Macaca mulatta: one gene and its partner. The protein of the gene in region 1 binds, or shares a complex with, the protein of each later gene. Links are inferred from orthologs where the notes say so. Each region holds a gene or a part of one and is shown on either strand. Other genes may lie near its edges.

Region 1 (3,648 bases):
ATAAAGACAAATCAGTTTCCCACCTAGCTCTGCGGACCCTGCATTCTCCCTGAGCCCAGGTTAAATGCTCCGTTCCAGAGTGAGGTTTGTAGGTTTGTTTGGTTTTCTTTTTTTTCTTTTTCTTTTTTTTTTTGAGACAGTCTCGCTCCATTGCCAGGCTGGAGTGTGGTGGCGTGATCTCGGCTCACTGCAACCTCCACCTCCCAGGTTCAAGTGATTCCCCTGCCTCAACCTCCCAAGTCACTGGGACTACAGTCGCATACCACCTCGCCCGGCTGCTTTTTTGTATTTTGGTAGAGACGGGGTTTCACTGTGTTGGCCAGGATGGTCTTGATCTCTTGGCTTTGTGATCCGCCCACCACAGCCTCCCAAAGTGCTGGGGTTACAGGTGTGAGCCACCGCGCTCGGCCCCTAGGTTTGTTTTAGCCCACAGTTGAGAAATAACTGGTAGGTTAGGCTTGGCCCTTGTGGAACGTTACTTGGAAGTATGCTGGCCTCCGTTAAGGTCCCTCCACGCTGCCGGCCTGGAGAAGTGTGTCGTCTGCCTCACAGGCGCCCTTGCTTTGCCTGTGACCGAAGCACTCCCTGTGGTTTTAGTGAGTTTATGGTCGAGGAGCACGAGCTGCGGAAGGAGAGGATCCAGGAGGATTACAATGACAAGTACTGGGACCAGCGGTACACCATCGTCCAGCAGCAGATCCCTTCCTTTCTGCAGAAGGTGGCGGACAAGATCCTCAGCACAGGTGCGGTGCACACAGCGGGGACCTGGCCCGGGGCCGCAGCACAGCTCTGCCTGGAGAGTCTCCTGCAGCCCAGGCCCTCCCGCGGGAGCCTGCGCCTCACCCTGTGGGCGTCCTGAGCCTGGGTGTCCGTGAATGTGGGGCCGAGGTCAGGACCGGCCCATGAGCTGGGCTGCAGTGCTGAGTTAAGCCGTGAGATGGTCTCTGTTGCCAGGTTTCATCAGGTTTCCATCGCCAGGACTTTGTTTTGTCCCTGACCCTAGAAGGCTCTCTCACGGGTGCCTTCCCTGTTTCTCATTTCTGATTTCTAAAACTCCATTAGCATGACAGGAAAATCCATCAAAGACACGCGCCTGCTGGCCGGCAGTGTTTTCAGTCTCTGACCACACAGGTTAGGGCCTGACCTCGACCCGGGGCAGCGGTGCGGGGTTGGACTCGGCACATCGGGGCCGTCACGAAAGGGTTGGGAAGCGGTTAGCCATCTGGTTCTCATAATGCCTTTTCGAAATTATTTCTGTGCCCTTGGTTAGAAAATTCCAGATGTGCAGAGCCACAGCAAAGCCCTGACGCCACCCGCTCAGTCTGTAGCAGCTGACCGTGATTTACCAGGAGGGAGCAAGGGTGTGGAGCCGCCTCATGCGGCCCAGTTTCCAGTCCACTGCCTCCTGTGTAGACGAAGACAGCTAGGGCCTGAGATCGACCATGTGGAGAATAAAACTTTTAATTTCTATCTGTTTTCAGGAAAATATCTAAATGTGGTCAGAGAGTGTGGCCATGACGTCACCTGCCCGGTGGCTAAAGAGATCATCTACACGTTAAAAGAGCGGGCGTACGTGGAGCAGATCGAGAAGGCATTTAACTATGCCAGCAAGGTGCTGCTGGACTTCCTGATGGAGGAGAAGGAACTGGTGGCACACCTCAGGTGATTCCCTGCTCTGTCCCTGTGCGGGCGCTCGCCTCCCTCAAACCGGAGCCTGTGGGACGTGGGGCTGAGATCGCTGGGTTTCTTCTGGCAGCTCTGCCTTGTCTTTTTGAAAGTGGGCACTGCCAGATGGTCTCTAGCTCAAGGACCTGGCACGCACAGTCGGTGGTGTAGGCCCCGGGTCACCTTGTCCAGGGGCCCCAGCTCCCTTCCTTGCCCAGGGCCCACCAGCCCTTTCTCGGCTCTTCCTGCCACAGCCTACATGGTGGTCGCACAGCCCCTGCCCGAGAGCCAAGCGCTTAGCCCGTTGTGGTGTGTTTTAGCATGATGGCTGTGGCGGGCACCTGCAGGTGGGACGTGCTCACGCCTGCTCCCTGGCTGTGGCGGGCACCTGCGGGTGGGACGTGCTCACGCCTGCTCCCTGGCTGTGGCGGGCACCTGCGGGTGGGACGTGCTCACGCCTGCTCCCTGGCTGTGGCGGGCACCTGCGGGTGGGACGTGCTCACGCCTGCTCCCTGGCGCAGGTCCATCAAGCGCTACTTCCTCATGGACCAGGGCGACTTCTTCGTGCACTTCATGGACCTGGCGGAGGAGGAGCTCCGGAAGCCGGTGGAGGACATCACGCCCCCCCGCCTGGAGGCGCTGCTGGAGCTGGCCCTGCGCATGAGCACGGCCAACACTGACCCCTACAAGGACGACCTCAAGGTGGGCGGGGGCGCCGGGGGCTGCCACCTCAGGCAGGGGCCTCGGAGGGGCTGGGAGGAGAGCGCAGCAGAGGCCAGCCCTGTCCCCCACTCCCCGCCCGGGTGGGGCAGCCGCGGGGTCTGTTTCCTTCACTCTCGGCTGTGGGGGCTGCTTGCCGGGATCGGGGGTCTTCGCACCTGTGCTCACGAGGGGCGCAGGTCTCGGGTTTTCCCGCAGTGCCCTTGTCAGCCTGGGTGTCAGGTTGTGCTGGCCTTGTGGAATGAGTGTGGACCTGTCCCTCCACCTGCTTTTTGAAAGGGTTTCAGGAGTGGTGTTCTTTTTGTTTTTGTCTTTCTGTTGTTGTTGTTGTTGTTTTTGAGACAGAGTTTCGCTCTTGTCACCCAGGCTGGAGTGCAGTGGCGCGATCTCAGCTCCCTGTAACCTCCGCCTCCCGGGTTCAAGCGATGCTCCTGCCTCAGCCCCACAAGTAGCTGGGATTACAGGTGTGCGCCACCATGCCCAGCTAGTTTTTGTATTTTTAGTAGAGAAGGGGTTTCAGCCGGGGGTGGTGGCGGATGCCTGTAATTCCAGCACTTTGGGAGGCCGAGACCGGCGGATCACAAGGTCAGGAGATCGACACCATCCTGGCTAACACGGTGAACGGCGTGAACCCGGGGGACAGAGCTTGCAGTGAGCTGAGATCGTGCCACTGCACTCCAGCCTGGGCGACAAAGTGAGACTCCGTCTCAAAAAAAAAAAGGGGGGGGGTTTCACCATGTTTCGCAGGCTGGTCTTGAACTCCTGACCTCAGGTGATCCACTCACTTTGGCCTCCCAAAGTGCTGGGATTACAGGCGTCAGCCACCACGCCTGGCCGTTTTTTTTTTTTTTTTTTTTTTTTCTGTTTGTTAATTTTTGTTTTTGATAGAGTCGGGGGTCTCACTATGTTGCCCAGGCTGGTTGAACCCCTGGGCTCGAGTGATCCTTCCACCTTTGCCTCCCCAGGAGTGTGTGGATTCTTGGACGTTTGACAGGGTTTGCCTGGGAGTCCTTGGGCCCTGGGCTTGTCTTTGTTGGAGGCTTTTGAGGCGGACTTGGCCCCTTGCTGGCCACAGGTCTGCTCAGTCCCTTTCCTCTTGGTCGGCTGTTCGTCTCGCATCTCGTCTGGTGCACAGTTCATGGAATTCTAGTTCGGCTTTTTATTTCTGTGAGGCTGGTAGTTATAGCCCTACTTTTTCTGATTTTAGTAATTTGAATGTTCTTTCATCTTAGCTGATGTAGCTGGGAATTTGTCGATTTCATT
Region 2 (3,648 bases), on another chromosome or scaffold:
GCCCTTCATCTAGAGGTTCTCTGACTGTGTGCTCAGGTTTTTCTCTTAGGGAATAGTGACCTCTTCATTGATGTACATTTTTCTCCTCACTGGATTCTTTAATAAATCGTTAAGTAAAATAAAATAAGGTTGAACTTCCCTCGAGTGCTGAGATCTTTAAGGATTGTGACATTTTAGTGCATGTGAATTAAGATGATGAAATGCAGGAATGCACAGCGAAGGTGTTATGTACGTGGTCAAAGCACGTTTTCAGGAAATACAGGATTTACAGCTAAGAATCAAGCAGGTGCCGTTGTTATTCATGGATGGAACTTTGTTTTCCTTTGTTTTTAATTACGCATTCTTCCTATATGTAGATAAATAGGTGGATTTGCTTTTTGCCATAGTTGGTTCCTGGAAATCGCATTAAAGTAGATTATCATAAAGTAGATATTTTTCCAGAAAAACAGTGACCAAGGATTTAGCATCAAATAAATGGTGTTTTCCGTATAAGTGTAATAGAATTATTAAATCATTTTGTGATTTATACAATTATGTTGAAGACACTCAAAAACAGAATGTGTGTTCTATACGTATGAATTACTAAGGGAGTCTAGCATTGTGTAAAGAAAACGCAAAGCGTTTAAAAACAGAACTTGACACATTTAATCTAAAATTTAAATTCCAGCTAAAAGAATCAATTGACATTCTCATTTATACCTTAGAATTTAAATTAATTACTGTTATCCTATTAAAAATCTGTATAGAGAACTTTGAACTGAAAGTCTTTTAGAATTGTCCTCTTAAATTTAGGACTATGCCCAAAGACATAGTTTTAGTGAATGTTGTTGACTTCTTTCCTGGTGAAAATGGAGTAAAATAAGAACTGTTTTAGGTCTTTCCTGTTCTCCTTACTTCATGAGTGGATTGTGGATGAACCCCCCAATACTGCACCAGTACTAATTCCAAGCTCTGGCACCTGGAAACGAGTGCAGCTGAGGTTCTCATTTTTGTGTTTTGCAGTCCCAGGAAGTGATATTTAGTTGCATCTGTCAAAACTGACACTATTAGAAATCAGCTATGAGGTTCTTACATTTTTCAAAAAACAACTTTGACATAGTCTCAAAATTGCTGACAAGCCATCTTGACCTTGAATATGCATTTGAATATGCTGCTTAGATTTTATACGTTTGTATATGTTAGAAGTTAATTGAAAATTACAGTGTTTCTTTTCATAGTGAGCACCCTGAAGGCTGAAGACAGGTGTGGCCAGCCGCCTGGGACAATGTCACAGTGACTCAATTCTACTCAGTACATGGGGACTGAACAAGAGTTGTTGATTTTGAAATTAAAATAAGTAGAGAATTTCAAAGTGGTTATAGGGTGGGTGTATGTTTATAAAGAAAAGCCAAGTAGATTTGGATATTAATGGTAAGCAATACATATGTAAGGTAGCAGTAAGATGATTTTTCAACCACTGTGTCGGGTCTGAACGCTAGGCCAAGGGTCCCAGGGAGGCTTGGCCAAGTTCAGGGGACTTGGGACTGTCTGTTATTGATATATTCGGTTAGGATAAAGTCATGGTATCAGCTATCTGAGATTTATAAATTTACATAATTCACAATAGTAATACAAGAGAAATTTCTGGGGACACTTTTGTCTCTTCAGTGAATAGTCTGGCTATTAGAAGATAATACAAGTTTCTTTTTTTAGACAGTCTCATCAAGCTCCGGGAGTAGGAGATTGCCTTCGACAGCAGTTGGGGTCACGACTCGCATGGACTTTAACTGCAAATCAGCCTTCTTCACAAGCCACTACCTCAAAAGGTGTCCCAAATGCTGTGTCTCGCAACATGACAAGGTCCAGGAGAGAAGGGGATACGGGTTGTGAGTAAAGATCTATGTTTATACAGCTTTTCTGTGAACGTTTGGAATTCGGCCTTTCCTTATTTTAAAGTACGGCCCAGGAGCCCCACCTCAAACCTTTTAGTGCTTTCTTGTTCTTTTTTTTGTTTTTTTTTTTTTGAGACGGAGTCTCGCTCTGTCGCCCAGGCTGGAGTGCAGTGGCTGGATCTCAGCTCACTGCAAGCTCCGCCTCCCGGGTTTACGCCATTCTCCTGCCTCAGCCTCCCGAGTAGCTGGGACTACAGGCGCCCGCCACCTCGCCCGGCTAGTTTTTTTTTGTATTTTTAGTAGAGACGGGGTTTCACCGTGTTAGCCAGGATGGTCTCAATCTCCTGACCTTGTGATCCGCCCGTCTCGGCCTCCCAAAGTGCTGGGATTACAGGCTTGAGCCACCGCGCCCGGCCTCTTGTTCTTATGATGAAGTCCAGAGTCCCTGGTGGTCTGCGGCACCTTGGGGAGTCTGGCTTTCCACCCCAGGCTCCCTGGACTGCTTCCTCCCAGCACAGTCTGCTTTTTGGCTGCTCGTCCATGTGGCCTCCTCCCCACACATCTCTCTTCTTTGCTGTTCCTCATCGAGTTCTCCTGGTCTGTTTTCATCCTGCCATTCTCCCTGGTTTGAAAGTCTTTAAGGCTGGGTTAGGCACCGTAGTAAAAGTCATCTTCTTCCACCAAAGTGTTAAGTCCACAGAGGGGCTAAGTCTGTTTCATTTATGGGGCCAGTGCTTAGCACAGTGCCTGGCATGTCGAAGAGAGTCCCTGAGGAATTACTCGATGGTGAGATGAATACCTCATGGAGGGTTTTATTTTTTATTTTATTTTATTTTTTCTGAGACGGAGTCTCGCTCTGTCGCCCAGGCTGGAGTGCAGTGGCACCATCTCGGCTCACTGCAAGCTCCGCCTCCCGGGTTCGCGCCATTCTCCTGCCTCAGCCTCCGGAGTAGCTGGGACTACAGGCGCCCGCCACCTCGCCCGGCTAGTTTTTTGTATTTTAGTAGAGACGGGGTTTCACCGTGTTAGCCAGGATGGTCTCGATCTACTGACCTCGTGATCCGCCCACCTCGGCCTCCCAAAGTGCAGGGATTACAGGCGTGAGCCACCGCGCCCGGCCCTCATGGAGGGTTTTAAAGCCCTGCTAGATTCCAGAAGGAAGCCTGAGTTTCTTTCTTGAGAACACTACAGTTAGCAGCGTTTGAAACATGAGTGTCCTGAAAATAGAGGATTGGGCTTCCCTGTTGACTTATCTGCTGATTCTGAAATGGCTCTGGATGTTACCTGTACCTGTACCTGTGTAGAATGCGAAGGTGAGGAGCATCTGAGAGCCGGAGGACATCCTGGCAGTCTTAGTCCCCTGCAGCAGTCTCTACCATCTGCCCCACTCCCCCGTCCCCATGTGTAGCTCCCGCGTCCGGCGTCTGTCTGTCCACGGCCCACACTCATGTTGTGTTGGACAGTTGTGTGTTCGTGGCACAGCAGGCCAGCCTCTAGACTGAGACTCACCTTGTTTCTTTCTAACTTCATACTCTCTTTTTCATCTTGAACTTATTTATTGAGTTAGTAAATTTCATCCGGGTGGCATATATCTAATCTGAAGCTAATTGTGTCATAATATCTGTTGTATCTTAAAATGTATTGTCTAGTAATTACTCTTTAAAAAATGATTTTGCAGGTACTATGGAAATTACAGAAGCAGCTCTGGTAAGGGACATTTTGTACGTCTTTCAGGGCATAGACGGCAAAAATATCAAAATGAACAACACTGAAAATT

Evidence for each region. The genes of interacting proteins can lie anywhere in the genome.
Region 2: the proteins of TUBGCP2 (region 1) and TUBGCP3 are in contact, whole or in part, in a cryo-EM structure (PDB 8Q62), measured with the Homo sapiens proteins. The link is inferred for Macaca mulatta from reciprocal best matches to the Homo sapiens genes TUBGCP2 and TUBGCP3. Residues at the interface, in NP_006650.1 of Homo sapiens: Gln172, His173, Pro175, Ile176, Phe177, Pro178, Trp180, Arg184, Ala186, Leu187, Ile188, Gly189, Phe191, Leu222, Tyr223, Val226, Val228, Asp229, Gly230, Arg231, Glu278, Ser281, Phe283, Gln287, His290, Ala291, Ala294, Arg297, Val300, Lys301; in NP_006313.1 of Homo sapiens: Glu272, Asn273, Cys274, Ser286, Leu287, Asp289, Thr290, Val292, Arg293, Glu296, Trp299, Ser361, Thr363, Leu364, Arg365, Leu368, Val369, Tyr372, Lys375, Ile376, Lys379, Ala382, Ala383, Asp386, His387, Ala402, Tyr403, Lys405, Thr406, Gly407.

Annotation. Positions count from the first base shown.
Region 1 is NC_133414.1:145,386,175-145,389,822, reverse strand, and holds part of TUBGCP2 (gamma-tubulin complex component 2), read left to right. Parts: intron 1-597; coding exon 598-743; intron 744-1,481; coding exon 1,482-1,662; intron 1,663-2,186; coding exon 2,187-2,367; intron 2,368-3,648. UniProt on the Homo sapiens protein: Component of the gamma-tubulin ring complex (gTuRC) which mediates microtubule nucleation.
Region 2 is NC_133422.1:106,825,584-106,829,231, reverse strand, and holds part of TUBGCP3 (gamma-tubulin complex component 3), read left to right. Parts: intron 1-1,692; coding exon 1,693-1,865; intron 1,866-3,549; coding exon 3,550-3,648. UniProt on the Homo sapiens protein: Component of the gamma-tubulin ring complex (gTuRC) which mediates microtubule nucleation.